2 linked regions of the Oreochromis niloticus genome follow. The protein of the gene in region 2 purifies or fractionates together with the protein of the main gene of each other region. This does not show direct contact. Links are inferred from orthologs where the notes say so. Each region holds a gene or a part of one and is shown on either strand. Other genes may lie near its edges.

What was found.
Region 1: the proteins of vps50 (region 2) and vps51 purify together in Homo sapiens (affinity purification with mass spectrometry; 7 studies listed by BioGRID and IntAct, counting the BioPlex papers as one, with this or other methods). This does not show direct contact. The link is inferred for Oreochromis niloticus from reciprocal best matches to the Homo sapiens genes VPS50 and VPS51.

What each region holds. Positions count from the first base shown.
Region 1 is NC_031975.2:9,244,325-9,260,964, forward strand, and holds vps51 (vacuolar protein sorting-associated protein 51 homolog), read right to left. Parts: upstream 7,691-16,640; 5' UTR 7,416-7,690; coding exon 7,239-7,415; intron 6,862-7,238; coding exon 6,732-6,861; intron 6,619-6,731; coding exon 6,472-6,618; intron 6,376-6,471; coding exon 6,156-6,375; intron 5,678-6,155; coding exon 4,783-5,677; intron 4,626-4,782; coding exon 4,410-4,625; intron 4,302-4,409; coding exon 4,218-4,301; intron 4,135-4,217; coding exon 4,000-4,134; intron 3,914-3,999; coding exon 3,792-3,913; intron 2,072-3,791; coding exon 1,984-2,071; intron 1,894-1,983; coding exon 1,633-1,893; 3' UTR 1,040-1,632; downstream 1-1,039. Other genes in the region: frmd8 (FERM domain-containing protein 8), read right to left, coding at 10,827-10,936, 11,064-11,292, 13,646-13,795, 13,893-14,016, 14,097-14,312, 16,366-16,532. UniProt on the Homo sapiens protein: Acts as a component of the GARP complex that is involved in retrograde transport from early and late endosomes to the trans-Golgi network (TGN).
Region 2 is NC_031985.2:24,115,799-24,132,742, forward strand, and holds the start of vps50 (syndetin), read left to right. Parts: upstream 1-8,102; 5' UTR 8,103-8,224; coding exon 8,225-8,257; intron 8,258-8,753; coding exon 8,754-8,822; intron 8,823-16,944. Other genes in the region: hepacam2 (HEPACAM family member 2), read left to right, coding at 588-887, 2,470-2,595, 3,026-3,047, 3,143-3,177, 3,575-3,648, 3,745-3,855.

The sequences.
Region 1 (16,640 bases), on a different chromosome or scaffold from region 2:
GCAATACACTTATAACTGGTTTATTAAACCCTGTAAACCCACAGAGTCCCTCCTCAGGGTAGACAAACTGAGATTTCCACCAGACTGTACCAACAAGACTGTCAGCGTTTGAACTCTTTCTGTAACAAAGCTGTCAGGAAAGTGAAGTTGACTTCAAAGGCATCTCTCCTCTTTCAGTAAAATCTAAAGCTGAGGGCTTCCGCTTGCAGTAGAGTATTTTTTTTTTAATGATTCTATTTGTACTTTTACGCGAGTAGATCCAAGCACTTCTTCTACAGGTGCATACTTGTCGGACTATATTTGATGTAAACCCCTCACACTGAATGGCGAGGCCATAATAATGATGCATTCAAATACTCAAAGGGAATTCTAAATGTGGGTTAATAATCAAACTTGACAAAAAGCAAGAGAAATGGTCAACGAGACTATTAAGGGTCATCAAAAAGTCATTATGGTTCGATTTAAAAACCTTTTTCTTATAAAATTTTAAATTGCTGCTTATTTCTGCACACCCGTGCTGGACTGTTGCGATGGGTGCCATAAATAAATAAGGCAAAGTTCAGGTCAAGCTGCTGTCAGTTCCTGAGCAGTTCTGCTGTGGACAGTGACACACGGGTTGGACCAGTTACCTGTGAACGAACTGAAGGCTTTCCGAAAACACCGCAAACACGAAGAGTGCAAATCTGTAGTCCTGTTTAGCTTCTTACCAGTTCCTGCAAAATGGGATGTTTGCATCAAGGCAGCTCGTCAGCGTCCATCCAGCAACCTGCACACGGACACGCCCCCAACTACGTTACCGCAGCACGAAATCCTCCCCGCGCCAATCAGGAGTCTCCGCGGTCATCAGAAGAGGGTGGGAGAAAAGGGCTTAGCCAATCAAATGCGATCGTCAGGTGGCGACAGTCCGTGTACTCTCCAGACAGTAGAAAATGTTGTGAAATTCGCCTCAGTCACCATCATGCTGACAAGTTAGATCAGTGCAGGAGCACAATGCTATATCTACCAGCTGATTTCAACAGGGGCAGCAAGAACCTCTGAATCCCACATTCATACACTTTTATTGCAGACAAGCTACATTTAAACATTCCTTACATGGAAACAAGCCCAGAAAACAGAGACTCAAACGACATGAAGGTAGCAGGTAGACACACATGGATTACATAATCAGAAAATTATTATTCAGCAAAGCACTCTTAAAAATTATTTATTAATACATGTGATTTTCACAGGACACAGGTTCTCTCTTTAGTCATTAATATTATGTACGTAAGGTCAATATTTTATCCTTCAAGTGAAACAGGTGCTAAAAGCTTCAGCTTGTACAGTGGATTATTCAACTCTATCTTTGTATAAGGAGGAGATGGAGAAGATTTTGTTAGTTTGTAACAGTTACAATATCAAACCAAAGTGGTACAGGCTCATTTGCACTTTAATGACAAGCACTTCAATTTAAATCTGCCACAAATTTGACGTCAGTTAACAGCTACTACTGTTTGATTTAGTGTTGAAAAATTAATAATTCCTGACTCGTTCGATCTGGATCAACAGACTGAACAGCAAGTGTTGAACAGAAAAGAAGTGTTTAAATTTGGATTCATGATTTCAGTGTAATTCTTTCCATCCCCCCGAGCCTTAGCCTCTTTCACAGATAACTTCTATCACACTCTGCTCCATCGGTGCGGGATCCAGGCAGCGGTGGGCGGCGCTTCCAACGATCTCATCTAGCAGGAAGTGCACGAGATTCTCGTCGGAAACAAAGCGCCACAAGTACATCTGCAGGTAGTGGCAGTCCACCTGGATCTGCTGCAGCCCGTATCGGCCAAAAGTGCGCAGGCGGACGCACTCCAGAAATGTTTTTAAGCTGATTTTGATAATTCCCGTCATCACGGACACCTGAGGAAGCAGAAAGATGTGCAAGTGAAAATGTAAGATTTTTCCTTTTTCATTTTGTTAAATGAGGACCATCTGCAGATCTGCACCCACCTTGTTGAACTCCACTGAGCTAAAGATGTCAATCCTTTCAGAGAACAGCTTGTGTATGTTGCTCAGCAGATTGGTATCCATGGGAGCACTGAAGGTAAACAGAAGACAAGTGCTTAAGAAAATGTGTTTAAAAATAAATTTAAAAAGTTAAAGTGTGATTAAAAATGCCTATGAAACAACTGACATCGTACTTTGAAGTGGTAATATAACACTGTATCTATGTGCCTTTTATTTATAATATTTTAATAACCACTCAGTGGTTATTAAGATGTCATTACAATGTAATTTCTTTATGCTGACATTTCCAAAATCACTCACTGTACTCTACCAAAATAAATAAATAAATGAATCAAAATCAAAAACGGGGTGCCAAACATAAGGCCCAAGGTCCAAAATCGGCCCGACAAAGGCTCCAATCTGGCCCACTGACTGGCATAGAAAAATGTGAAGGCAACCATACATTTTTGAATTTTAATTGTGTTTTCAGAAGTTTTACAGCTTTTCTTACTTATAAAGAGCTTCCCTGTGGCCATTCATAGCAAAGTAAAATAATTAAGAAAAGTAAAGTAAGATAGGAAAGGAAAGGAATTACAGAAAGATTCCTGTTTTTTCACTGTATATTGTATTTTTTACTGTGAGTCAACAAATTTTCAGTTTTATAATTATAGGACAATATGGTAATAAGCTACCAGATCTTTCTGTGTAATTTTACACATTTATTTCTTACAGTTTAAGCCCAATGAGTCATGCTGACAGTTTTCTTTCATTAACTGCAGCAGCATTTCTTCATCACGTAGAAAAACCGAGACGTAGTGTTGAAATTACACTTCTTTTTCTTATATTGGGATATATTAGGGATTAAATGTTTGGTTAAACTTCCGGGCCACTTACGGTCAAAATAGGCTGCATGTGGCCCACAATATAAACAAGTTTGACATTCCTGATTTAAAATTTGTAGGTAGCTCTGCACCACTGCTACCACTATTATTAACTATCTTAAGGTCAGTCTTTGAAAATCCCATTCTCACCACTTGCATGTGTGTGTTTGCAGTGCACACTGGATCACATGCTGTGTGGTTAAGAGGACAAAGTTACAAGCCAGAGAGCCATAACTTGTAAACAGGTTGCTGCATGCTTACACACCAGTCAGTTAATTTCTACAGAAATGTTTATCTTCAGATACCGCCGGACATAGACCGTTATGCCCTTGGAGACAAACTCACAGCAGAAAACTGTGTAAATGTTGCAAGTAAACTGCACGAATTCTGCATTTTCACCTTTGACCTAATGCACAGCCTCTGAGCTTGAACACTCCAACCTTTTCCACTGAAAATTCCTGTTTGGGAGTTAGTATTTGTTTTCTATGGAAGTTTGAAATCACAGATGTTCAAGAACATCCAAACGCCGATTGAAAATCTTGAAGGGAAACATTGGACAGATATATAAAGGCCCTTCTATTGTTTCATTTTCTGCACATTACACTCTACTTACTCTACTTTTGCGCAATGGTGTAAACCCATGGTGTCCAAACCCAGGCCTCAAGGGCCGGTGTCCTGCAGGTTTTAGATGTGTCCTTGATCCATCACAGCAGATTTAAAAGCTAAATTACCTCCTCAACATGTCTTGAAGTTCTCCAGAGGCCTGCTAATGAACTAATCATTTGATTCAAGTGTGTTGACCCAGGGTGTTATCTAAAACCTGCAGGACACCGGCCCTCGAGGCCTGTAGTTGGCCAAGCCTGGTGTGAACAGAACCAAAAAAAAACCACGACTGCCACCAGCTGAGCGGTGTGTGTAGAGCTATGGTACCTTGGGGTGTAGCTGGCAGCATAGCGGGCTTGCTGCCTGGAGCTGCTGTAGACAGAGAAAGTCCTTTTGCTGGAGTCGCTGCTGTGCGCTTTCCTCACGCCCTCTTCATACAAGAGACCAACCTATTGTGCAGAAGTTTCATAAAACAGCCCGTTCATGTGGGATCATGAGTGCGTGAGGACAGTGGGACAGTTGCAAAAACTCTCACCTGCACATCAATGGATGTGGTGTCCTCTACCACTCTCTTCATGACAGCGCGGACATTTCTTGGCTCGATGGTGTTAACCCAGTCTCTGGTTTCAACGCTTTTTCTTAACATTTGGGAGATAATCAGACCCTGAACCTGAAGCAAAACAAAAATAAAGCAACTAAATAAAAAGGATGTTTCGCTTTTGTGACTTTTAAAGGTTGTTGATAAAAGCCTACCTTGACATAATGGTTGAGTAGTTTCTGTGCTGCCTCCCTGGCTTCTGCACATAAAGTTGTAACAGGTGTTACGGGACTGTGGTGCTGAGAGAGAGCAAAAAGCACATTCTTGTCATTGTCTTTGGCAAGGTGACTGGCTGATTAGAGAGATCAAACACATAATGACAGCTAGCTCTCCTTGTTTTGTGATACCTGTACAAGGAACTGTTCATCTGTGAGAGTAAGTATGTAGGAGATGGTAGAGGTTTCGTAGTCCAAGCAAAGACGAGACAGCAGCAACAGAAGGGCTGGGGGAGTTGAACCTCCTTTGTCTCCGGCGGTCTCACAAAACTGCCGAGAAGACTGGCACACAAACTTGATAAAGCTCACCACCAGGCTCTCACGTACACCCTGGCTGCAGAATTCACCCTAAAAGGGAGGGGAGACACACACAAACCGGTATCACTCGCACAATGTAGAGACAACACGCAGGGTTACAGTAACACATGATGTCACACATTAGTTCAAACTCATATGAAAACTATAAAAGGTAGTTTGGGAGCAAAAAACCCCAGAAAATGTTCACCTTGAAGTACGGCTTGTTGGAGAATGTGATGTCCTTAGCTGTAAAGAGATGCACTGACGCCAGCACCGACTTAATCTGATTGAGAATTGAGGCTGACAGGGAGGAGAGCAGCTCTGGTAGGCTGGTTGGAGCGTCTCTGCCAGAGGCTGGCCCAGCCACAGAAGTGCCAGCCACAGAGAGACGAGGAGTTGCCAGAGCCTGCCTCACGTCTGTCAAGCTGTCCATGTAGAAGCTCTGCAGAGCGGAAAGGTACTGCTTGACTCGCTCCGTTGCCGCCCGTATCACAATCTCCGTCCCCTTGTTTGGCACAGCTGAGCCAGGCAGAAGTTTGGCCACAGCCTGGAGTCTGCGGTGGAAGCGGTCCAGCGCACGTACAAGTAGGGAGTTATCCCCGACCCCTTTCTCCTCTTGTATCCTCCGCTCGACAAGCATGAAATATCGAGCAGCCAGATCATCCACAAAGACATGCAGCTTGCCATTTGCCATCTGAGGAATATTTTTGGATGCCAGCTCACCCTTTTGAGCATGGTTGATAAACAGTTCTTGATAGGACGTGATTACCAAACATAAACTGCTCACAAACTCATTGCAGCCTCTGTCGATGAATTCCAGAATGTCAGTGTTTGATGCGGGGGAAGGCAGAGAGCTGTTTTTGGGAGAGCCATCGGCCGGCGATCCGGGGGCTGTTGTAGACGACAACCCATGCACGGAAGCATCTTTTGTGGCTGAGGTGGACGGGTACGGCCTTATCTCTGCTTCCAGGCCCTGAAGATCTGACTCAAGGCGAGACCGCGCGTGGCTCAGGAATTTATCACAGAGCTCTTCTGCTGGCTCATCCAACTGCAACAGAAGCTCCACACACTCTGATAAATCTTTGGCACTTGACCCACCATCCCTATGATCACAAGAAGAAAAGACAGAAGCAGAAATTTAATGAAACGTGTGATTTTTTTTTCCTGAAGTTTGGTCAGTTTTGGCTCACGCATCAGCCTCTTATAAAAGGAAAAGTTTTTGAGTTGGCATCTAAAACTACACTAAAAACTAAAACTAGGTGTGAAAGCACATCCTAGTCAACTTAAATAAAACTACACTATTTAAACTAGACTTTGGAAAAAAAACTTACTGAAACAGTATAAAACAAAACTACCCAAAATAAAACAAAACAAAACAAAGCAAAAATAGTATATATGTATAAAATTTGTCAATAAAACCTCTCTGATGAGGTTGATGTCCATTTGTTTATTGTCTATGAGTCAACTCAATTGCTGTTTTTTTAATTTTTTATTTTAATATCTATGCAGTTGTGTCAAACATGCTGTTTATGCCAATTAAAATTATTTTTGTTATATATTGTAATAACTAGTCATTGTCACCTGAACTTCTGTCGAAGCTCCTGTGCCAGCTTGTCCATGATGGCGTGACAGTCATCCTGAATTCCCTTGAAGGAGGGCAGGTGGCTGTACTGCTGCAGTACGCAGCGAGCACGGCGGTGGGTGTTCACTGCCTGAGCGTAGGCCTGCAGCTCCAAACATTTATTCAACCTTGCAGGGAGTTCAAACAGAAACTGCAGCTTCCTCAACAGAGTGTGAACACCTGGAGTGAGACATGGTAAGACCCCAAAAAATAAATAAAATACAAATCACACAATTAAAAAGTTTCATTCAAATAAACAGTCAGGTTAGGTCTCACCAGAGAGTTTGGTTATCTGCGCATGCTGGTCTTGAAGAGTGCCGCTGATCCGAGCGCTGAACTCTGTGATCGCAGCCATGTTAGCAGACAGACAATCCATTTCATCTTCCATCTTCTTGAAGTCATTCTTCATCTTTCTTATAGTGTCTGGCAGAAGGAAAGAAAAAGGAAGGCTGTTTCAGCTATCCAGGTTTGCACAATTTAATGTCAGCTTACGTTACAGCAGCAGCGTGTGTGTGTGTTTGTGATGTTCCCTTCACCTGTAGCTGATATAAACTTGTTGTAGTTTTCATACACCAGGGTCTGCATGTCGCTGTCCAAAGAGCGGATCTGCCTGACCATACAGGTCTCCTGGTCCATCAGCTCCGTGAGAGAGCACTCCCTCCTGAGCTGGATTTGGATATTTAAAAAAAGAAGTTACTGTACATATGCTTAGTGGTCATTTGTGTCTTCTATATGTAGTGTGATGTAGTATTAGCACTGGTTCATTTCTCACTGTTTGGCAAAGACAGGAGCAGATTTGTGTTTTAAAATTCACAGCCATCTATATCTTTACTTGTAGTGACATTACAACTGGGACAAATGAAGGAAGTACTCTGGTGTTTTCTTCAGTTCATGTAACATCACTGCAATCTGCACTGTGTATAGTATTGTCGATTTCAGCATTTCATGTTCTATTATCTGGCATCAAGCTTACGCTAAAATTCTGAAGCAGTCCAGCTTTGTGAGCCACTGAACGGATTACAATGACAATAGCAGTTTCGCACCTTGTTGAGATAGAGCTCCGGGTCAAAATGAGGCCCATTGATGTCGCAGGGATCCAGGGACTCCGGCTGCTCCGGGGCCTTTCCTTCCTCATTCAGCCCGTAGTACAGCTTCAACATGCCGTGCACTCTCCGCCTCCTTCCCGGGTCCTCAGCCACCGGCACCGAGCCCTCGTCCATAATGAACGGCGGCCAGCTGTGAAACGTTTAAAGTAAAATAACGATAAACAAAGGCGACGACAGACCAGCTGACAGGAGACAAACGACAGCCTCTAGCTGGGAAACGGCAACACAAAGCTCCTGTGTGACCGCTGTGTGTTTAGCCTCGCTGCCAACTGGAAACAACAAAATCATTCAGGATAAATATTCAGAAAATGTCATATTTTCTCTGAGGCAGAAGCAGCTAGGTGGAAGCGGTGTTGTTTCCGGGTTTCTAGCCTATCCGGTGTTACGTCGCCCACCAGTGCACGTAATCTAAACAGCCAATTAGAGCAGTTTCTCTTTGTTGATCTTTTTATTCACTATAGGCTTCAAAATTTATGTATTTTATGTAAGAATGTATGTTTTTGGCAAAGTATAGACAGAGACAAAGCTCATAATTGTTCAGGTAAGTGTTCTAGTTATGCGCACAACTGCGCATGTCCTAATTGGCACGTAACGCCATATTAAAATGCTTAGATTGAAGGAATCTTCCATTTTTGGGGGTTGTAGGGAAAAATTAAATGACACCAAAATGGATTAAATGTGTATGATAATCTGTGATCATAGCAAATCCTACAATGTTGAAATCAAGAAAAACACAAAGAAATGCTCATCCCTTGAGTGATCAGAGGAAAAAAACACTTTTATTATAAGATTTAAAATGTGACAAAAGTCTATATTTTATCATGAACATAAAAATCATAGAGGAATAATAATCTGGGATATAGTTCAGGTATTTGAAAATCATTTGTGAAAGCAGAAAATCAGAGGTTTTAGGTGCATGTTAAATCATTTCCACAGGAGCACTCACCAAGCTTTCTACATATATATCAACTCTTATCATACCTGCCATATATTAAAACATAAACATTTAACAATGAACTTATTTCCCCAAACAATTTGAAATGGATCTAGCTAAGATGGCACCTCAGTTAAGAAATTGTTGGCTCGACTCTAACATTATTCTACAACTGCAAGTGTTTAAGTAAAACAAAATGCCACAGAAATACTGATGAGAAGTTTGCATGACGTTATGTTATTAAATCATATGCAGAATAACATATTGGTTAAAATATGGCTTTAGTACACTTAAGCAGCAGGTAGCAGACTGAGGAAGGAATATTTGATGACAGGTATGTTCAGAAAAACGGGGCCACTTTCCATCATCTCATAATTTTAATGAAGGCCGAGCTGACAACCGAGAGGAATTACAGTACACTGTTCAACATCCGCCATCCAGTTACTCAAATATACTCACATCACATAACATAAAGGAAATACATCATTTTAAACCATAGCAATACCACAACTGTCCATTTTCTGGTTTCAATGCACCAAAACAGTAATTTAGACGCCAACCCAGTAGAAACAAAAAAGGCACTTTAAGCTTCTGTAAAGTGTTTGAGACCTATTTCTTCATTAACATATACAAACACTGGCAAGTACATGAAAACAAACCAAAAGAAAGTAAAAGTGTTCTCTCATAAAAGCTAACAAACAATACAAAACAAATCTCCTGCTGTAAAATGTTTAGAAACAGTGTATTAGTATTAACAAGTGCAGCATCACATGATGTGTAGACTGTCGGAATGCCTATTCTACAACGTGACATGCATAGTGTTTGTTGGCAACAACATACTGAGCTGCTGGCGTTAGTATACAGACAGCAGCTGATACACAAGTTGAAGCATAGAAAAGTAAGGACATTCTGCCGTTTGCATGCTGAGGAAAATCGAGAAGAATAGACCGCATGTGCCGCCACATCTCCAACGAGGGCACGTGTTCAAGTGGAAGGCGCTATTACAGAGATGTGGAGACAGAAACTGCCTCCCTTAGCATTAGTGTGGGGTTCAGAGTGACACCCGGGGGACTCTGCCAAGTGCTGGAGGCTAAAATCTGTCTCTGCAGCGTTAAGGTAGCACACACTTGGTTGCAGCATGTCAGACAGGCTTGCTTTGGTGGAAAGACTTAAGATTTTCAACAGTGTGGCCACAACTTGGTCCTTGTTTTGTGTTCAGAACACACAGTCGCTCTCTAGTGACAACCGGGTCAACAGATTGGTTAGCTTTTGGAGATAAAGTGAAGCAGAAATTGTTTTAATGCTATATAAATCTAATAATCAAGTAATGAAATTCTTTGCATTGGTAAATGAATCGTCGTAAAGCTGAAAACGAGGCCTTTTTCCCCAATGATGTCAACAGTGACCGTGTTTGCAGAAAAACAACACTGTTAGTTTCTTTAATGTCTACACTTTCAATTTATCTTCTGTCATGTCAGAAGTTGCACAAGAACAGTATTGCATCAGTTTTCTTGCTCATCAGGTCCAACAGTCAGGTTAGACTGTGCCGACAGATCGCTTGTACTAATCGTCCATGCTTTGAAATTTAACATTTGAATACAAGCATGGTGCGGCAGTGCTGGATGATCTTTAGATGAATATATTTTTTCCTACACAGGTTCTACAGTTTTATAGCTTTAATTCAATTCTTTTATTAGTGCAAATCCATTTAAACACTTGATACTGTGACCACAGAACTGCAGCTTCTTTAACAAGAAGTTTTAAAACTCACATTTTTAAAGCAGGTCGTCGTGCCACCTCTTTCAAACTAGCTGCAGATATCGCTTAATATTGACTTTGTCAAAAACTCCTGTACTTACAAAAGTCCTCCACAACACAGCCAATGTGCTCCCATAAGGATTGTTTATGGTCAGGATAGCCGGACGCGACACGTTTCTACTTTTTCTGAAGTGGCTTCACCCTTTGTAGAGATCAAGGCACTGGCAGTTTGAAAAAAGCAGAATAGCGGAAATGCACCCTTAGATAGTCCCCTGAAAAATGTTTGTCATGCTGACTGTTGCCGTTTGTGGTATCGCTTAAAGTCTGAGGTGGAGTCACGAAAGCTTTAAATATTCTTAATGCTCAATCCCCGATAAGATGAGTAGAGGTAATGCAGTGGTTATACTCATTTGAGGTGCAACATGTTTGAATAATAGCAGTAAATCCGCTTCCAGAGCGCTGCAGAAAGGTCAAAAACAGTTATTGACTGGAGTCACTGTTTGAGGATTATTATAAGGCTTGTCTCACACTTATTCATCATATGATCTTTACAATAGGCTGTTTAAGGAACACCCACTTCAGTTGAACCTTGGAAGCATAGCTGCTAGATCTTTTTTCACATTACTGTACTCGCTTAATGTACACAACTTCAGAAGATAAATATTGTCACTCACACTTGGATTGCTGTCATTTGGTCCTTTACATGTTCATATATTAGCAGATAAATGTCTCAAGCTCAAAGTACATCTCTCCTTTTTTTTTTGTTTTAAATCTCAGTGTAAAATGTTCAGATTTGGTCTCTGAGAGGATCGGGTCAGATCTGATGGGCGACTTTAACCCTGCTCCAGACTCTCTGTTTGCACTGCAGAGTAGGACACTGCAGACGCCTGTCGGGCGAAGAAAGACGCGGCTCTCTTGGGCTTCAAGCGTTTGATTTCTTTTCCTAAAAAAACAAAAAACAAAAATGAACAAATGCTGAAAAGAAAAAAAATCTCTGATACTGTGAAACGGCACAGAAGGAGCTACCTCCAGAAAGGATAACCCTGCTGTTAAACAAGTTTGGCCCTCACCGTCATCGACGTAGCTGATGGTGTTAAGCGACTGGACTCTGCTGCACACAACGCTGCCTTGCCTGTGCAGCATCCCGCGCCTTCCGCCACGCCCATTCTTGCTCCTTTCTTCCTGTCCGCCGGGCTGCTGTGACAAACTCACCTCGCCGTCCATCTCGGCTGCAGCTGCCCCCTCGGACGCAGACTTAAGCTCCACGCAGAACTCGATGAAGCCGCTCATGAGCTCCGCCTTGTTGGATGGGACAAAAAAAAAATTCAGTGTAAATTCAATGAATAGTTTATATAATCGCCACACGTAAAGTACAAATTCTTTTTTACACTAATTAATTAATAATAAATGAACAGTACTCATTCATACGTGATTATTTTTGAGCTTTTATGTATAACATCTTGACATATGTTTGACTAAGACACTTTTCAATATCAAATAACTAAAGACCCAACATAAAATACTCACAACATATATGAAATGCAAATGCACACTAAAAACGATATAAGGCTAAAAAACACTTTAAACAAAATAAATATGGGTCTTGTGTGGCATCATCCTTTGTGGCACATACTAGATGACCCTCACACAGTCCCCATGACTCGAGAGCCTCCTTGAGGGCTCTGGCTAACATTTCCCCTGCATGGTCGTCAAGAAGACAGCACGTCTGCAAACACTGACTGCAGTGCGTCTGGTCTCGGGTGAAGTGCACTGTGCATACATTTGATGCTGCAGTGTAGCATGCTACATTGTAGATTTCCTCCAATGTTTTGGCCCGACACTCATAATATAAATGAGGCAACTGGACTTGCGTGAAGTGTTTTCGGCTGGACATGTCAAGTGTTTTGACCAATTTAGAAATCCCTGTTTCTCGACATTCTAAGTTAGGACCGTGTCTTTATAGATAAAAGCTGCAATAGCTGCTATTATCTCCTTCCATCTTTGTGAGTCTATTATATGGCGCGCCGAGGGTAAAGGCTGTTCTAACACTTGACTCTGTTGTATTTTGAGCACCTAACGGTTCTTTTTTTGCTTCTCATTTGTGAACCCTCTCCATACTCTTTCATGTGATCCTTGCGTAGGTGCTAGAACAGGTTTGTTGTGTCGGAATCTGTGGTGGGGACTGGTTTGTGGTATAATTTTGCAAAGTATAGTTTTCTGGTTCATATCAGACTTTTTACAACACAACTATGTATATGCTACAGAAGTAGCCCCTTGTTTAGGAACAAGTTCTTTGATTTGTTTTGCAGTAAACAGTGTGTGTGTGACAGCACAAAATAAACGATGGTATAATATGAAACAACAGGCATTTTAATTCCATCTTCCGATATATTTCGTCATATCCTACAGCCCTACTAAGGCTTAGAGCCTGGTGATTATGGTAATAATGCTTTTACTATTAGGTAACAACTTTTTGGTGCCACGTTTACCGAATGAGGATGATATACCTGAAGCACAAAAATGACTTGATATTTTTTAGGCACCTATATCAATTGTAACACTCATCTAAACACAAATATGCACAGCTGCTTCATTCAATCCTGGAAATCTCACAAACAGCAGGTGCTCTTGAGAAGTGACTGCATCTTTTGTCCAAGTTGAAAACATCTCATTTGAAAGTGCGTCAGAGGACTACAGCTGACAGCCATAAGACATGCTTGAATAGAGCAAAGAAAGTGGAGATATTCACACCATATTATTTTTTTTAATTTCATAAAAAGTTTTCAAACAGCTGGCGTCAATAGTTGAGTACTGAGGATAGTGGATAGAGGCTTTCTCCAAATGGGCGTAGGCCTCTCCCTTAAAGATAGGGTGAGGAGTTCAGGGTTGAGCTGCTACTCCACTGTATCAAAAGGAGCCAGCTAACAAGGATGTCTACAGGAAACTGAGATGTTCTGAGCATGTCCTACCAAGAAGATTCCCCAAAGCCTGGGAATCCCTCAGTGTTTCCCTTGGGTGAGCTGAAGGAGTAAGTAAAGTAAAGTAAAGTAAAATTTTATTTATATAGCACCTTTCAAGATAAAATCACAAAGTGCTTTACAGAGGCAGAGAACAGACATTAAAATCCAAAACAAAACAAAATTAACCAAAACCAAGTTTAAACAGATAGTCATGTCTTTTAAAAAGCAGTTAAAAACCTGAGTCCACAGATCTCAAACTCAAAGGGAGCGAGTTCCAGAGTCTGGGAGCCACTGATACAAACGCTCTGTCACCTTTTGTTTTTAACCTTGTATGCGGGACAACCAGCAACCCTGGTCACAAGACCTCAGGGACCTGCTGGGGTGATAAGAAAGAAGAAGTTCACTTAAGTAAGTTGGAGCTACACTGTGCAGGGCCCTATAAGTCATGATTATGATCTTAAATTGGACCCTGAACTTGACAGGGAGCCAATGCAGCTGAATCAGCAGGGGAGTGGTATGGGAGTGTTTGTGATGCTTTGTCAGAAGCCTAGCAGCAGCATTCTGAATGCCCTGCAGTCAAGGAGGTAGTGAGGGGAACACAAAGGAGGTTTGGACTTCTCTGCTAAGGCTGCTGCCACAATGCCCCAGCCCTGGATGAGCGGATGGACGGATGGATGGAAAAAGTTTCTTACCTGTTTTGAGTAGATCTTTAGCAACTTGTTGACAGGAGTGCCGTCTTCATCTCCATCAAACTCCAGCCACAGGATGTGTGAATCCCCCTCCTCCTCCGGGTAGCTGTGGTCCCAGGAGAGCTCACTGAAGCGCAGGCCAAGCAGCACGTGCTGCGGGAAAACATTTCCATAACAGGAACAGAAGCGCAGAGTGAGAACCACGGCATGTGCGGCTGCTGTTTTACAAAAGGTGTGAAGCACTGCTCACCTTCTCTTTGACATCCATCACATAAACACCTTCCAGGCAGATCCCGATGTTGACAGCTTTACGTTTTCCCCTTTGCAGGATCCCCTGCGCTGGTTTGTCAATCTCCCCAAAGAAGAAAGCACACCTGTTTTCACATTTAAAATTAATCATTTGCCTTCTGTGGAAAAATACAATTCAAAAATGTGTCATTATGCTAATTCATACCCATAATAAGGCAGCGTGTGACACGTGTTGAGGTACTGGTGTAGGAGCTGCGTGGGCTCGGGAGAGCTTGCAGCAGATGTGCAGATCTTACTGTACTCCTTAAAAAGGTTCTGCTCCAGCCCGACCTGACGGCTTGACTTCCCTCGCAAAGTAGAGAACAAGCCTCCGCTCCCCATGGTGACATGTGCAGGCAGATAAGAAGACAGCTTCTTCTCCCTGTGGAAAACAGAGGACAGAGGTTTGCATCAGATCTGTGAAGTATTTCCTCTCGTCTGCTCCTCTTTCCTAATTTACCCAACTGTCAATCTTTCTTCCTTTCATGTTTGTCTCATTTAAATGTTCTTCGCAGCGCGTCTTACTGTGACTTTTTGTGAGACCAAAGGACAAAATGCACTCATCTCCCAATTAAATTGTTTACAGTGTAGCTCTAGTTTTTGACCTTTCCTCCTTTAATGCTACCACTCACATTCTTAGATAAACATGCTCCTTAAGTGCGAGAGAACTACTTACTTTACAGAATCTATTTCATATAATTATGTAGAAATCTTCTGATGACAGCATCTATATTTAAAATAACCCATAAACACGCTTCAAAGAATTGCCCAGCTTTGTCTCGTCATCGGCTATCATAGGAATCTATTTTATTCTACTTTGGACAGTTAATGTTTTTAAACTAGTTGAGGTGCAGCATTATTGTTTATGTTCATGCAGTAAGAACATCAGATTATCTTTCGCAGTATAATACTTATGGATCAGTCAGTAAATTGCTTTGAAACAGCAGGGAGGAAGTTCACACAGCAGATAAAAACACAGAGTAGGATTTTGCAACACCATAAGCAAAGACTTCCTTAAAAAGTCTATAAATATGCATGTTTTTGTGTAGCTGTGGGTGCCTGTAAGATTCTTCTAAGAGTAGGTTACACTAATAATAATGATAATACACCTAATGCTGTATTGTATGTACAGTGTCAATTTTTAGTACTTGCAGTGGCTCTTAGACAACCTGACAGAGAAGAAACCTATGATGAATGTTGTCATTAGAAATGCCTTATCCCACCTGCACACCAACAAGTACTTAGAAATACACTGCAGTGTTCAGGCAACTGTTAATAATAAAAAAAAAGGACTACTGACCTTTTTCACAATATCCGTGTACCTTTTACAGGACTGTATCACATCGTCATAGACTGTAGTGAAGCATTAAAAGCTACTCCGTCTATCAGATCCCTAATTGAGGAATATGGAGGCTGTGGGAAATGGTTTGGGTGGTGCTTTTTTTCATTGTTTATTTTTTCTACTACATTAGGCTGTGCTGTAGAAAGGCATCCTCTCCAAGTCTGACAGATTTATGAAAGGCAGAACCACCATTTATTTATAAATAAATGGAAGAGAGATACTGTTTCATTTTGCACAAACTGCAAAGTCTGTGTGAACGTGTATGAGCACATTCTCTAAGTGCAAGAGTAAACAGAGTAGAATACTGGGAAAAACTTAGTCAGATTAAGCAAGGATTACTTTTCTGAAATGGCACGCAACTGGCTCACTTTCACAGATATATATTAACTTCACTGACTCTGCAGTTTTCTTCTCTTCCATCTATGCTTTAAGATATGCTCTTCAATAAAAAAGAATCCCACTAAATTACCAACGCCTTAAACAAAAAATTATTTTAAATACTTTAGGTGGAGGGTACATAATGTGAATAAGGACAGCGGTCCCCAACCCCCGGGCCTCGGACCGGTACCGGTCCGTGAGTCGTTTGGTACCGGGGCTGCGAGAGTTGAGGCTCAGGTGTGAAATGTATGGTTTTCAGGGTTTTTATCAGTTTTCAGCGTTATTTTGTTATCGTTTTTATCGTTAACTCGGTTTTCCTGGGTCTTTTCACGTGTGTTATGAATAAATCTTCTTTTTTTCGGTACCGGTACTAGTTTTATTTTGTTGTATTTATCCGCGACAGCTTAAAGGCCGGTCCGTGAAAATATTGTCGGGCATAAACCGGTCCGTGAGGCAAAAAAGGTTGGGGACCGCTGAATAAGGGAATGACTGAATGTTGCCAGACCACTAACAAAACACATAAAATAAACATTAGTAGGGTCTGGGGACCGATTTCTTCCTTTTCTATTATGTATGGAGGAAGATATAAGTGAAGTGGAAAGAAGCAAGACTTAAGACATATCGGCCAATACTTTTTTCTTTCAGGCACATGAAACATAAACAAATTCCCCCTAACATCATCATGTGTAGTTATTTATGAGCAGTTGCTTCTCACCTTATAGTTGTAGTAAACTGTTTGCTGTCCAGACTAGTTCCCTCATCGAGAGCAATAGACAAAGCTCCAAGACTAGTCCAATGCTCAGGGTCGCAGGGGTATCGACCGGTGAGGATGTTGCTCCTGGCTTCCTCATAAAGAAGTCGCAACACTCCTTCCTCTTGTATCTGCACAGGAGTGAGACAGTAACTCCCAGTAAGCACATTAAATTTAAAATTGAAAAAGAGTTTTGTCTAGTTAAGTCAAAATCTGTATTTCATTTTGCTTTGTTTGAT
Region 2 (16,944 bases):
AGGCAGATCGTGTTTGTGTTTCAACCTGCAGGAAGCACTCTCGGTTTCTTTCAGTTTTACTGTATTGAGTTTCTAGTACAGCCGGTCTCCTTCTTAATGTTTGCTTTCACTGGAAAATACAATAAAAAAACAGCTGATAGTGAACTGGTCTGTTTGCTACTTATAGCTAATTGCTACTACAGTAGTTCTCGTTTAACAGATCATTTTGTTATTTAACAGTTAGGTTTTATCTAAAATGTATATTAATATGTTTATAAATAATATGCTTGACTGTGTTGGAAAAAGACAATTCTTATTTTAAGTTAGTGCGCTTTCTCGACAGCCCATGTTCAGTGCTGCACCAGTTCACCCCCGCCTCACCAGGTCTCAGTGTTCTCCACTGACACTGTCAACATACCCACCCATATTTATCCCACTACTCCGTGTACAAACCTGTGACCTTGTATTTAGAAACTCACTTTTCTTACCCTGCTTTCCTCTGCTACCCAATCATGCCTTAGAACTGGACGGTTCATGAAAATTACCCACAAAGCAACATCTCACCAGCAAACTGTCATGTTTTTCTCACTCTCCACCGGCCCATACAGATGGCCCTTACAACCTTGAGGTGAACTCTGTCCAGGGCCTGCGCACAGGGGAGGTGTTCACCATCAACCCTGGGGAGCTGGTCTTCTTTGAATGCCAGGCTGACTCCAATCCACCTAACAGCTATGTGTGGATCTCCAAGACCCGCAATGCAACTCAGATCGTCACAGAGGGCCCTCGGCTAGAGGTGCGCTCCTACAGACTGGCCCAGGCTGAAGAGTACCTTTGCCGTGCCTTCAACAACGTGACGCAGAAGCAGGACGAAGCCCAGTTTACTCTGGTGGTGGCCAGCTTGGGAACAGGTGGGTAGAGGGTGGAACATGGCAAGAGGGAGGAGAGCGTGGGTAGGTTTTGGGAATCCTCTGAGATAAACACTCTGCAAACAGTGTGTCACGCCAAACGCAGAAGAGCTGGGTGAGCGTTTCGAGATAATCGTTGCCAATGATAAGCACTGCCCACCTTTTGGGAACAGTTGGGGAGATAAAATACTATAACTGGAGCATTACACTGCGTAAAAGCTGACAGGTCAGACCAGGTTATGGCTATAATGAAATATACAGTACATTATTATAAAACTAAGGTTATATCTGTGTTGCTAGGCTCCAGTACCTGCAGCATGTATTTAAGTTCAGTGGCTGGGAAAGTAAACACTGGATAACAGCTGTTATGTTTGTTGACAAGGTTTTATAGCATATGGAGTTTCTGTGTGCTGAATGCAACATTAATATGTTGCCTGGGTGATACTGAGAAAGGGACATTTATGATTACTGCTGATACTGACTGATTTAACACGTTGTTTAAGGAGTCAACAGATGCCCTTTTTTTTTATTGACATCGAAATCTTTTATGAACCCTACCAAATTTCTTTCTGATGATTACAGTTTTAAAATTCAAGGATTTTACAGACATGTTAGCCACTGTGGAAGGCTATACCGACTGTCTGTAAAAGAGGATACTGAGATGATTTATTTATGTATTTATTTTGGCACCTGACCTGCCCATATTTAGATAAATTGTGGATAAGAGAGTGTAGTTCGACATTTTCAGCTAATGCTTGCTAGCTTGGTTAGTTAGCATTGTACCTTGGTTAGGTTAGATACCTGCTAATTAATGGTAACACATAAATAAAATTGGTTGAATTTCTCACATTAAGAAAAACAAAAACAAAAGAGACTACAGCTTAAACAGGTAGCCTTTATTTAACCACACTGCAACAAACATTAGTTTCCAGGAAACTGCTATAAATGTCAAGTTCAGTAACGTCATTTAGCTAAAGTGCTACCTAAAAGACAGCTAGCTAGATACCGTTAGCCTTTATCTGAACTCACCGGCTACTCAAAAAAACCATCATACATAAGATTTAACACATTTTAAACTGAAAAGTACGTTTTCACTAAAGCCTTTGTTTGCTTGTTTTTGTAGCCAACTTCAATATCCCTGAGTTGTCTCACTGCAAGACACAAAAACACGATTTCAATAACACATCTCAGCTTTTCTATGTGATAAACAGATGATGCTTCAGTAAATGAAAGAAAAAGTTACAAAAAAAGTTCTGGTAGCTCATTGGCTAGAATGTCCTGTATTCATAAAATGTATATGGTAAATAGTGGAATAAATAACAGGAATAATTCTGCAAGTTAATTGTTTATCTGTTAGTTAATTACATTGTTAAAGTATGAAGGGCCACTGTACAGGAATCTTAAATTCGGGAAAACTATGAAAATAAAGTTTACGTTTTCCAAAGCTGTCCAGTGGGCCAGATTGGGGGCCGTTTTTTGCTCCCTGGCACAAAGACCAACTTGTTAACTCTGTCATTCCTACAGAACTGGCTTACTTTCAAATTTGTGTTCATGTATCATTCATGTGACTGTTGTTCATTAACAGGGAAAGAGAAGCACACCCAAGAGGGTAGCTCTGTATCACCGCTGGCAGTCATTACTGTCTGCTCTTTTTTTGTCATTGGCTGTATGCTGCTGTTCTTCCTCAGGAGAACCTGTCATCCAAAGAGAGGTTAGATACTGTTTTCTGCTGTTGCTTTGGCGAGCACATTTTCTTACAGAACCATATTTGCTTTTAATCCCTGTGAGTTCAATCTTACTTTCCTCCTGGTTTCCGAGCTCTTGCATGTGGAATTTAATAAACCTTCCCACAGCAGTCATTTTGACTTGAAATGTAATTAGAAATGGTATTAATTAATGTCATTTGTAACACCCGTGTTTGCCTACTTTTTCATGTGGAAAAAAACAACAAAAACAAAAAAAAGAAAATGTTACTGGGAAAATGTAAATGACTTGCAAATGTTAGATTAAAGGAAACAAGGGCAAAGTAACTTCTTTATTTGAGGAAGTGAAGGTCACATTTGTTATGCTGTCGCTTCTGTTTGCGTGACTTTATATTTTTCTCTCTTTCTCATTCCCGTTCCCCTCTCTTTTATCACCAGTGCTTATGAGCATTTACAACAAGTAAGACCCTTTATTATGAAATTAATTCAAAAATCTACCATCGTGTCTTTTCCCCACATAAGCTTCAATTAACATTTGTATTTGTTTCTGAGCAGACCGTTTTCAGAGCAGAAACGACCACATCGTTCAGGTAAACTACTTTTTTGTTCACAGATTTCTCATTTTTGCCCTCTTGTTACCGTCAAAAACATTAATTATTAGGGATCCCAGAATATTCACTCTCATATTTATTTATACACATGCATTATATCATATTTAACAAGGAACTGGATTGGAAATATTAGATGAACAGGGCATTTACTGGACAAATCAGCTTCAAAAAAGCAAGTTTGAAAGCTAAACAACTTAACTTACCTTAACTCAAACAAGATAAGGAGAATTTAATTGAGATTAGAGCAGTTTTATGTTTTTAGGTTTATGACATCATATAATTTACCATGCCATTATAAAGTCTGACAGGGATTACACATTAACAGCTCTACTGTGGCAAAATTTTTGCTCTGATTTATCAAAATGTGTATCAACAGGTCACGAGGATGCAACCGAGGACTTTGGCATCTACGAGTTCGTCTCCATACCTGGGAAGACGGAATCTACACAGGTATTTTCACAACCAGCAAAGCAGCAACACTCATTTTTTCCCAAAATCCTTTGTTTTTTTAATGCTTTTAATTTGCCCGTACAACTAATCCACCAGGCATCGTGCAGATCTTTGGCTCGTCTCGAATCGATTCAAGATATGCATACTACCATCTACGATGTGATCAGACACGTTCCTGAAACCCCGAGTCACAGTTTGCTGAAGTAAAGTCTGGCTGGAGAGCGGAGATGGAACTTTAAATGGTTTAACTTGAAGATTTCCTTGTAGCTTTATTCTCTTAAGTCTCTGTTATCAAAGCCTGAAGCACTGGTTTTGGTGGCCTGGTTTTTTGCACAAGGGATGAAGGAGACTTGTGGGATTACAGAACCTGATAGTGCACTGCTGTTGACGAGAGTTTTGGACGGATGTTAAGTGTATTTTGCTGACATTGGTGTGAAATGAAAATGTATGTTCAGCTCATTTTTATTTTTTCTGTGAAAGCATAACTGAAGTTAAAACCCTTTTGTTTTCTGTTTTAAGGTGAAGATTATGTAAAACTAAGCAAGTTAGAAGTATTCAGTTTTACCTTATTTTGAAGATCTTGTGATGCATCCAAGGTGCCGAAATTGCCACATTATAGATGAAAAAAAACCCCACGAATATTATCATTTTAATTTAGCGTTCCCTGCTGAGAGAGTATATTTTGTGAGAAGTGTTATAATTAATGCAGTACGAAATATATATTCAGGTTAACTGTAAATATTGTACATGGATTATCCAGCAGATTCTTTATACATATTATTCTATTTCTATGTTTCACTCTAATCTATTTATTCCTATCAAAACTTTCAGCCCTGCTTCCCCAAATGTAGCATTTTCCCTCTTCTCATAATGGACACAATGAAATGCTCAATGAAAAGACAATGATAAGGAATTCATTATTGTACAGTTTGCATTCACATGTTTGTTTTGTACTTTATTAAAAATATAACTGTTTACTACTCTGGTCAATTGGAGTATGGACTGTTTGCTGACATCAAACAAGGACAATGTACTCTAATCTGCGAATTCTGCAATTATGTCTGTATTTTTGCTTTAGTTTGCCTTTTTTTTGTAAAAAGGCAAAAGCAGTAATGGCTTGAAATGAACATTTGTTCTTTCACACTTCCTGGAAAAAAAGAATAGCTGAAGCCAGCAAAGCTGTCAGTTGTTCTGTTGCTTCACAGTCCATCTTTGTCTGATGTCTTGGCTGTAATCTCTCTCCTAGCAAGAGTTGTGCTTTCAGTCCCAACACTGCTGCAGAGCGCTAGCTTCTTTCAGCCTCGCTGTATTGGTATGCTGTGTACCTGATAGAGATAGGCAGCGACAGACGGATGGTTCAGCATGTGGCATAGTGCCCTCCACCTGCTCCCGCTGACACCTTGTCACGAGTAGATAGAAACGGGTGTGCGCTTGCTCCTGTTTGTGTGCGCGCGCATACATATATGTGTTGTGGACAGAAGAGGAAATACAGAAATACAAATAAAGGGGCAAGCGTGGAGAGAAAGTCAGAAGTAGAGTGATTCATTCAGAAAGCGGAGGCCAAATTTTTATATGCAGCTCATTAGAAATGCTCCAAGTTTGCCAACCTTGGAGAATGAATCACGTAAAGGAACATTTGTTTCTACTATTATGCAGCTTATTATTACCAAACTGTTGTATACTCATTATGTGGTACCATGCTGAGTGCATCTTTTCAGTGTGTGAAATGCTATAGCACAAAATGCTGGCTACTATAGTAAATTATTATCAAACTGTAGTTGTTTCTTTTTTACGCCATGAACATTAAAAAACAAAAAAATCTAAGTCTAGAACTCCTGCTGAATTCTAAGGTGTGACATATCACGATGCTCTCCTGCATAACAACAAGTTGTTTATTAAATCTTGGTCTAATTTTAGCTGTTGAACTGACCAGCCGAGTGCGCTGTGTCTTTGTGGTGGCATCTCCGGGTAGGGGTTGCCATCTGTTCCGTCTCAGTGTATACTTAAAGGGAGGCTCCACACTGTGGATGACTGCCTGACAAACAACAGTGGAGTAAATTCACCCTAAGGAGAGCGACCTCACCTTCATTTGACTGGGAAATAGCCTGAGGCATCATTAACCAGGAACTAGAGCTCGCAGTGCCTGCTGTGTGCAGCAAGCTGCCTGCTTTTAACCAAGCACAGCCCGACATAACACCTAAGGGGGCAATTACAAAGCAGGCTGAATAGGTCTGTGTGTGCTGTTTTGGGAATTATTTGGAACAGTTTACAATGCAGAGCCAGGCATAACTGCATGCTTGGCAGAGATGAACCTGCGTGGCACTGATGACAGCGGGCAAATTCTTGGTCATGAAAGTAAATTTGCTGCGCTAAACATTTACAACATCCCAAAAATAGAAAAGCCTACTTTATTGTGTTAACCTGTATGTATATAATGTGTATAATACAGACATAAAGACAGTGGCTGTAGAATTAAAGGAAATCATTCTACTTTATTCTTAGGAATAAAACAAACCCTGGAGCTGTTTGGAAACCCGCCCATGTGGTGTACTGATAATAAGTGCAACATTATAACACACGTTATATTTTACTAATTAATTGTTTTTATAGAATCATTAGCATATAAACGTGTATATGTTAATATGTAACTCGTGCACATTAATGTGTAAAAGTCTTGATCCGCCCCTCATTCCTTTATATTTTTCTTCCATGGATACAGACTTTCTCATTTGCAGTGTTGTCCTTCTACCTGACCATTGTCAGAGGACTGTTTGTTCATTTGTTTGTTTGTTAGGTTAATTTATGATTCAGACATATTAAAAAAAGGCACCTAACTCAATAGATGAACCAGTGTTGTGTCTGCACATAGGACACTGCTTAGCATTGTATTTAATTGTATCTTTAGGCACTTTGTTACTAGCAGACTGCTGCTAAAAACATCATTTGGTCCCATTTCTTTTGTTGAGTAATTTAAAAATATCAAAGACAACACAGGTGACAGACAAAAAGTAGTATTTTTGCACCAACAAGGTGATTCCCAAAAATTTGGCACAACTGGATGAGCTGCAATGAGAAAACTGAACAAGTGGAAGAAAGTGGAAGGCCTAAAAAGTATCTACAGTAGATGAACATTTGAAAGTCATGTCCCTAAGAAGCAATAAAAAAAAATTCAGCATTTTTTCAGTTGCTCTCTCGCTCTCGGAGATGGTCTCAGTGGAAGGGTAGTCGTCAAGAAGCCATTCTTGAGGAAGCGCAACAAAGAGAAATGACTGAGGAATGCCAAATTACACAGACCTGGACTGAAAATCAGTCCAGGAGTCATGAATCCAAATCTGATCTTTATTCATATTGTTGTCAATATGTATGCAGGAGGTACCACAGTGAGTGTCCACAGCCATCTGTAACAAAAACCAACAAGCAGGGGAGGGTCTGTCGTGGTTTGGAGCGTTATTTAAGGCCGCGGTGTTGTGGATCTTTGTCAAAATTGATGGAATTATGAACACAGAAAAGTACAGCCACTGATCTGCCATGCAACATGGTGGAATGAAGCACATTGGTGAAGATTTCATGTTTCAGCATGGCAAGTACCCCAAACACCCTGCTAGTGCAGTAAAAGCAAACCTGGAGAGAGAAACACACAGTGAAACACTATCAGTCACAAAAAGAGCTTTGAATGTCATTCAGGTATAGAAGGACAGAGGACTATTCCTGATGACTACCTAAAGAAATTACAAGAAAGATTACCTAAGAGAGTTCACAGTGTGTTGAAGAACAAATGTTTTAATACCAAATATTGACTTTAAGGCTTGTTTGAATTATATAAATCCTATTTTTGTCTTACATACTGGATTTCTGTGTATGTTTGCACACACCTCAATAAACTGCTGCACCTGTTTCCCAGTTTTCCAGCAAAATATAAATAAATGTCGTGTGACTCAAGACTTCTACAAAGTATTGTAAGTACCTGAATAAATCCACATACAGAGATTCAGCCTAAAGCCATGTAAGAGAAAGATAAGCATATGTGTTGCCATTAACGTTAATGATGGCTCAGTTTTATTCCAGTGTCCCATGGCAGCCTCATCTCAGGAAAAACAATACAGCCACTGTGTTTCTTTTGTTTTTTAAATTTGTTATCATTTGCACCCATATTTTCGTTATTTTGGCACAAGGAGGTTAGATGACTGCTGTGTACTATCTCTGTTAATTTACTACCATCCAGTGGCGTATGGCAGCAGTACATTACTGTAGTGTCAATCTTTGACGCCATGTTTATATTTTATCATATTTTTTTTAAAATTTAATTTTCTCTGTTTATAAAAACATGTACTTTGGATTTCGTCCAGATGCTTTCATTTTTAATACGTGTGAAAAGCCTGACAGGCAAGAGCACGAGCACTGGCTCTTAAAAAATACATTTCCCATAAAGCTTTGCAACGTTCCGGTTCCTGCCCTGCCAGTCACGTGAGACTCAACTATGGCTTCCTTCTCGTAGTGATGGAGGTGCACTGTTGACAACAAGACACAGCTGGAGCTTTATTCATTTCTTTAGCCGCTGATACAACTTGGACTTACGATGCAGAAGATAAAGTCTCTTATGGCCCGTCAGGTGAGCACAGCAGGTGTACAGAAACTGCGCTACCGGCTGTTTGTCTCTGACAGGAGCCGGTAGTTAGCATGACAGCCTGCTAAGCTAACTGGCTAATTTGACAGCTCATCGTTTGGTTCATTAAGTGAAACGTTCAGCCAGACTAAAAGCTGTTTCAGTTGTTTACCTCAGGCAAATAAGGCATGCACATAGCAATTTACCTCACGCCCCGGTGGTGAAAGTTTAACACAACAACAATAACAACACAATAAAGGGAACTGGGCGGATAGAAGGAAGTTCTCAGTTTGCACATGCAGTAGTGTTTGGCAATTGGTCAACACTGAACACAACAGAGCATATCGCTTTCAGAAATCTGCCCCTCAGTTCCACTTTTTGCTGTATGCAGTAGTGTGCTGATGACGTTTTGTTACAAGTTACAGATTAAAAATAAAAACACAAAGAGTAACGTTAACGCTACCTGTTGTTTGTAGTTTTAATTTGGATCTTATTTTGGCAGGGCCTGAAAAGCCCCCAGGAGAGCATGGCAGACCTGAGTCCTGTGGAGAACCTGAGAATCCCGAGCAAGGTAAACTTCAAGTCGAGACTTAGACTGCAGCTGTCTGGTTTAATGTGCTGTTTGATGCATGTGGACAGTTTCTCCATCTACCACTTTGTGAGTAGATGGCTGCATTCCCATGTTCATCTGGTTCATTATGCTGTGAGGTCTGATAACTTCAGTGCTTATCTTAATAGTTTTGCTGACAACTTTTAAAAAGCTGCCATATTTTATTCTTTTCGAGCCACAGTGAACGCCATCGAGGAGGGATTGTTTTAGCAATTGCACTACTGCTGTTGGACACAGCTGCAAGCTGTAACACAGACCCCGAGTGATGTCTTTGTCATTACCCAGAGTCAGCACTCATATTAGTAGTAATGCCACCACAAGGCTGTCAGTATTACTAGAGATTTAATTTGTTAATGAAGTGTCGATGATTCATCAGCTATACATTGGATTTCATTTTTTTGTGCTTTATCTAAACAGCAGTTGTTATATTACAGTTATGCACAACTGAAGGCTCCTGTTTATATCAGTTAAACAGACTTTATGTCAGTCCTCCTCACCCCACTCAATTTGTGATGCAGACACTGTTATAAGAGTATTTGAACATTTCTGGCATGGCAGCGTTTCAAATTGCACTTAGTCATGCTTGGTCACAGGAAGCGTTTGTCACTATCCCCTTTGTACAAATTCAATTCGTCAAGTGTCGACGGAGCAAAAGGCAGAGCGGCTCTATTTCACGTTTAGTTACATTCATTCCTAGTGTCGCTGTGGCTTTTCACTGTAGTGATGACCTTCAATAAATGACTCTGAGTACAGTTTTGTTACTCTATTTGTTCACGGCGCTGGGAGATATGAGCCAGGTCGACTGAACAAGACGTTTAACCTTTCTGGTTTTTGCACACTTAGCGTTTACGTTTTCTTTTCGTATGGTGTGCTGTGCTGATATGGCGTGTGATTATTTTCTGCTCAGGCTAATGCTGTGCTGTGATAGATGAGACCAAAAAGAGAGTGCATTTTTGTCAGCTCACCAGTGGCGGTTAGGAAAGATTAAGCTGACTGAATTTTAAAATCTGCTTCCACTATAAAAAAAAAAGAGAGGAGTGTCTGATAAGCTCATACTTAGTTTTTATATATATATATATATGAGTATTTCTTTACAAAATTATAATGGAAAACAGTCACATTTAATACTCCAATAATGGGAGGTTGTTTTGTCATATTTGTATAAAGCCTTGTAGATCTGCAGACAAACTAATCCACCTTTTGAAAAGATAAGCAGATATTTAATCTCCAGGTGTAATAGGTGTCTAATTGAAAGCAGACTGTGTCTTCAATAAAGATTTCGTTTTGTTTTTTTTTCTCAGTGGGCACCTCTGTCTCCTGGCCTTGGAGTCAGGTGACATGGTCAAACTGGATATGCAGTAATCAAACACTTGTTTTGTTTTTTCCTTGCTTGTAATATTCTCGTTTGTCAGTGCTGGACTGAGACTCTGTGCAAGACCTATCACACCTGCTTTGTTTGCCTTATGTGTTATGAAGCAGTAAGGATAATAAGACCGAAGTAATGGCTTCTGTGGATGTGTTCATATGGATGTGTGAAATGTAAGCAGACAGTATGCCGCTGTCCATCGCCTATTAGGTTGCTCTTGTGTGTGCACTGCAAATACCTGCCTGTTGTGTATTCAACATAAACACAGGGCATCATTGTTTGTTGGCTTTATACTTTGGCTTCATTTACTTTGCTTTCATTAACGTGCTGGCCCTCTCAGCTTACAGGAAAATAAGATGGGGCCACGACACAGGCCAGGCTTCATGTAAAAGTAGTCCTCCTTCATTACAGGAGAAATAGTCCTCTGCAGGAGTGAGACCAAGGTGCTATTATATGATCATTTTGAGAAATACTGAGATCATGATTATTTAACACGTCACAACGCAGTTAAAATTAAACTTTAACTTCCTCCATTAACATTATACTGATACCCACTGATTGGAACCATTGCTGTGTTTCATTTTTTATTATTATTAGTATTTTTTTTTTACCCATGAGTCACATCATTTATCATCCTTCACATGCTGACAGCAACATCTGGCTAACTGCAGGGGGAAGGCCTGATGTGTGTGATGATTAAGTAAATGCTGCTATTCAGTTACTGTTAGGACACAGTTTGAGGGTTTGAAAGCAAGATCAAGATAAATGTGCAGTAGTCGGTCTGTGGCTGTGGCTTATCTCTCTTTTGTAGTATTTAAATGGAAGGACAGCCATTCAACACATTCATCAATAATGAAAGTTTGTTTGTTTCAGTCTGGTAGTGGTGGGTTAATACAGTCTGAAACAGGGTCATGATCTCATTAAATTGGCTAAAAAGTATGTAGAGGCAAGTTTGTTTGTTTTTTAATTTATCAGTTTGACTTTTTTGTGATTAATAGAGGTTATTAAACTTTAGACGGATGGTCCTCATGTGAGATGCTTGGGGATCAGGGTTATTTTAAAGGGGTAGTGGAAAATGGGTGTTTTAGGTTATTTGAATGTTTTGCTGTATTGTTGCAATGAAAAATTACAAGATTTGCAAAACCCTTTAAAGATGTCGGAAGCTTTTCTTTTGATTGGTAATCCATAAAAGGGAAAAAATAAAGCAGCTTCGTCGGGGGCGGTATTTTCACTTTCTTTTTGTTTTTTTTGCAGGGACGCAGGTGTCAAGATGATTATGTGCACATACGGAGGTCAGACTCTTGGCAATAGCATCAGTTTACCCTCAGGGAAAGCTATTCTCAAAGAACATCTTATCCCTTTGTTCTCCTGGTGCTGTGTACCTAACACCTTCTACAAACATGTAAATCTGGGTCACAGCGAGACATGCGCCTAAAGTTAACAAGTTACAGTCTATTCGAGATGCCAGTATGATGCCACCTCAGTGTGATGAGTAACAATTGAAAGCTATGACTCAACAGTAGAGTCACAGCATTCGAATTACAGAGACCTTGAGTGATGTCTTTGTTATTGCTCAAGGTCTGTGTTATTTTATCTGCCAAGGTAGGAAGATTTTTACCAAAGCCTTTGTAGCACAGATCGGTAACATGCTTTTGGCTTCATTGGGCAAACAATAGTAATCATAACCTATTAGCATATTTTAGTTAAAGAGGTCCTCATGTGGGTTTTGTTTTCTTCACTGATACTCTAGATGAGATGAAAGAAGTGATCATTGAAAGATGTTTGAAAAGCAGTTGGTGTGTTCAGAGGATTCTCGCTGTAGTTCTTGGGACAGTTAATTTCTACAGTAGACGGTGTCACCTAAATTACTGAATGATCAGAGCTACCTGTTGTTGCTTACGTGACTTGAAGTTGTGCAAGATGGATTGTTTTGTTTTGATCTTGCTGATCTCATGAGAGTCCAGCTGCCTCGCAAGGTAATGTGTTTTCAGGCGTTATTAGATCTAGCCTTTTAGGAGTGACTTTACAATTACAGATCTTTCCAGACCCCATCAAAAAACCAGACAGAAAAGATAAAAGATGGAGGTAGCTACTGTGATGTCATCCACTGGTTTTTGAAGTCCTGTTTGCTCATCCATTAGCATCCAGTGGAATATCCTCCTTTTAAAAATATAGTTGACCAAGATTTACTCTCCACAGTGTCTTTTTTCCCTCCCTGATCCTGGTTCTGCTGGAGGTTTCTTCCTGTTAAAAGAGATTTTTTCCTTCCCACTGTCGCCAAGTGCTTGCTCACAGGGGGACGGATGTCTGAGGGTTTTACTTATTGTAGGATCTTTATTGTAGAGTATAAAGTGCCTTGAGGCGACTGTTGTAAATTTGTGCTACATAAATAAAATAAAATAGACTTAATTTTTTATTCAGTGTGACCTAATATGAGGCACTCCGCCCATAATTACATTAGGAAAGTTTTTACAGAGGTAAAGTCAAAAAGCAGTTTTCCCATAAACTTCTATAGGACCAGAAATCTTTTTGCAACCACAGCTATCGCCCTCTGGTGGCTTTCAGATAGAATGCTGGTTTACTTAGTTACTTAGTTACTTATTTTTCTGGCCCGGAAGCTATATTAGTGTTGTTTTTGGATGCAGTGAATTAAGCAGAGGCAGTCACATGGACTCCTGTGTGAAGCAGATTTTAGAATACCATGGATACCACAGCTTGTCTGCTGAATAAAATTGGAAAATAATTTCAGATGCATACTGAATAAGATACTTTTGGCTGCTCCCTTATTCACACAAACACACACACAGGCACACACACACTCTCACAAGAATTAAATGGCTCTAAGCCCTCAAGCTATTTTTTTAACAACTTTGATGTTTTTTATTCTTTTCCTTTTTTTTAATCTCAGTGTTCCTAAGCTGCTTTGTGGCTTGTCAGTAAAAACAAGCCAACCTTCCACCCCTGTCCAGTCCTTTCTGTTCAAAGCTGTTGTCTCTCTGTGAGTCACTGTTGAGGGGTTTCTTTGAGGATGCTGTGGTGTTTTTATCTCTATTAAGTGATTGCAGAATTGATAACAAAGCCTAGAATAAAAATTTGGTTGGTTTGTTTGGTTGCATTTATTTATTTCCCTGTTTGTTCCAGAGAAATGAATAAATGCTGGTTATTAAACAAGTTTTAAAGTCTCTCAGCCTTAATTACTCTCCTCGCATGTTTTTTTTGCGATTAAGAAAATCAAAGATTTGCTTGATGTGTAGGATGTGCGGATTTAGCTGTTTACTTTGTTTGCATCGTGCACCGATTTATGAATAATTTCCTAATCTCAAAGCACCTGATAATGACAACAATCCTAATTACTCACAGTGTGTTATAGGTTTGGTCATACTGTGAAACATGTAGGCAGGTAATTTCGGTGTGATTTTGTGATACACTGAAGACAAAATTCAGTTATTTAAACCTATAAAGCTTGAATTATTTTATAATGGGCAGAAATTTTCATTTTTTTTAAAGCTTGATTGTTTAATGAGCATTGTGACAAATTAAAAGAAAATCATATGTTTAATATTTGCAACATCTGATAGTTTTGTGTAATGCGCAGTTTTTTCAGGGAAAAAATTAACCACACCAGTGATGTTAAGGTCTCAAATCCTCATGTATCAAATATTAGACACTTCGTGTTGTAGGATGAAGTTTGCTTTTGAGAGACCAGCAATTTGTTTCCCCAGAAGCCTCGGCGTGTTCGAGGTAAACAGCTTTTCATTCATACAATAACCATGTCCAACCAGCAGGGGTCACCCTCAACTTACCCACCGCTCATCTTTGCCAGATTTAAAGCTCTCTTCAGGCACACAAAGGAGCACACATTATCTCCTAAAATTATGGGATTATTGATTGGATAACTACTTCTATTTGCTAGTATTTATTTCCTGAAGACAAGGCTTTGGGATCAATCTGTGAGGAGGGCGTGTTTGATAATCTCTCATTAGTTCACGCAGGATGTCTTGAGGGAGAACACAGCTTATTTTTATAGTTTCCGTTTTATGGCTTCAGGACCCAGTCGGGTTATGTAGATAAGATATTTTGTAATTATATATTTCAAAAGCCAGATCATGCACTCATACAGTGAAGAAACTGCATGGCATGAAAACAGAGCGCTTCTCGTGCTTTCGGCTGAAAGAGAGTGTTGAATGAAAGGTAGAATAATCACGTACTTCCATGCAGAAATTCAGCTGTCAGCGTTGCCTGGATTGTGCTGGATTGTGCGATCGTGGCTGCGAAAGACAACATTGTTCTTAATGGCAGACGAAGACACAGGCGCACAGTTAGTCTTGCGTGCATATACAGCACTGATTACAACGAGGACGTTTTGATTCGTTCATGTAACGAATGATTCTATGGTGGAGATAATTGGCCCTTCTCTCAGTCTCTGCTGTCTTCCACCCCCCGTGTCTCTCAGGGTTTTCCACAAACCTCCTTTTGTTTATTCAATCTTTTTTGTTTTTATCAGCGCTGCTGTGTTTGTTGAGCAGTTATTTCTTTCTTTATTTTGTTGCCACAAGCATAATTTTCCATATTCAACCAGCGCTCCAGTCGAACATATCCCCCTTTGATTCTCAGATAAAGCTTGTAAAACGACCCGCACTTAGGATGCAAATAGATTTCTAATTTCCGCAACGAGATGAAGATTTCATTAATTTGTGGAAGTGGCTGGGCTGGGGGCTGGGGGCCGGGGTGGGGGTTGAAGGGCTGTTTGTTTGTCTCTCATCCATCAAAGTGAAATTTGATCAAAGCCTCACAGCGGCTCACGGTTCGGGTTTCTCGTGTGGGCCGCGGGGGCGTTTGTTTTGCTTTGTGCCTGCACGGCGGCAGGCGAAGGGAGGGAATTATTTAACTCGCGGCAGACCTTCAGTGAGTCATTCACTTAAAGATGTTTCAAGTTTTGCGCGTCACTGCAGGTGGGAGACTGAGGCAAAGAGAGGGGAAGGAGAAAGACACTGACACAAGGTGAACTGCCTTCGAGTGGCTTCACGGGAGCCACTTCATTGTCTTCTGTTTAGCCCACTCCTCTGCCTTTTTTTTTTGTCTTCTTTCTGCCATAACTTCTCCGAACAGTGAGTCATCCTCCTCATCCCTCCTCCCTTTTTCACTTTCTCTCATTTGAGCTGATTTCCCACCCACCTTTTTGATGGGGGAGCGTGATCTCCTAACTCTAGGCCTCCTTTCCAGTCTCACGCACTCACCCACACATCCCCCTTCTCTCCCCAAGGGGTGGGGGGGCTCCGGCTCGCTCCTTCACCTGATTTAAACACGGCACACTCGCCTGGAGATGTGCACACTTGAGATTTGCACACTTGCACGGACACTCGCATTAAACACATTTCAATGCTCGGTTTGAATCTTCACAGTTGCCTCGTGTGAGTGTATGAAGGGTTTCTCTGTGTGTGTAATTGAATTAGATGAAGCTATATTTTGCTGTGAAATGATGAAAATTACGCACAGCAGCATAGCCTCATATAAATGTCACTCAGCGAGACACGCTGTCACCCAGAGAAACATATTTAGTTATTTGGGTGGCACACTTCATCGCCTAGCTTCATGCTTCTTGCTGATAGGAGCTGGGAACATATTTGGGGTTAGGCAGGTGTGTAACAAGGTTTTCTTGATCAGTGTCTGCTATCTCGAGAAGGTGTACGTTTAACGAAGTATGCATATAAGGGTGTATATTGAATTTTATATTGCATTTGTCCCATAATTCCATATCCATCCTTGTTAGCCCCGAGCTGCTGGTCTATTTTTAGTGCCATTATGCTTTAATGTATCGATCCCACACAAACAAGAAGTTCGACTCAGTATTAACATAAATGAAGGGCTTCCTCTCAGAGTGTACTCACATTACAGAAGATGTGAGTCCTGTGCAATATCACTTAAATGTCAGATGAACCAAAATTGTATCACCTTACAGTAATTGCATTACACTGAGCAGTAGGGTATTTGCTCTTTTGTAAAATGAAAATAAACAGTTTAGATTTACTATGTTAACGATAAAAATAGGTTGACCTTTTATCTGTGAGACTGCTTTGTAGTGTTCCCCACAAACAGATTTTACTTTTATTCATCCATCTGAGAGAACCCCATCCTCAATGCCCTCATTTTTATTTTGGAAGATGACTCACTGCTAACCTGCTAGCCCTGGCCCTCGCTGTCTGACGTTTCCACACCAGCAGGCGAGGGTCAGATGAGCACCACCGATTGCATCTGGCGATGGTGATCCCTGATCTGCTCTGAAGATCCACTGCAAGCTAAATGTGCAGCCTGAACTGTAAATGGAGCGGGTGGAAACGTTGCTCAGATTTTGTTTTGCAGATTTGCACAACAAAGGCTGTCTTTGCTAATTGCACTTCAAGGTGATAGAATTAAGAGTCCATCCAGTCCACGTTACTGGAAAGGAAGTTGATTATTGCTCATAAAGCATCAATAACATTTACATATCAATTAAAAAACGTTGGACACGCCTGGGTTCTCAAATAGAGCATTTCAGAAGAAATTTGAGAGCAACCACCAACAGCCTGCTTCGTATGTCCACCTTTATTTGAGTTAACAGTCTTTCTCAGCTTGGGGAAAAACTAAAATAGTTCCTACAAAGATTTTCTGCCATTCCTCTGAGACAGTTTTCTTTGTTTCATTTCCTGAAGGTTTTTGTTGTTGTTGTTGCTCAATTCT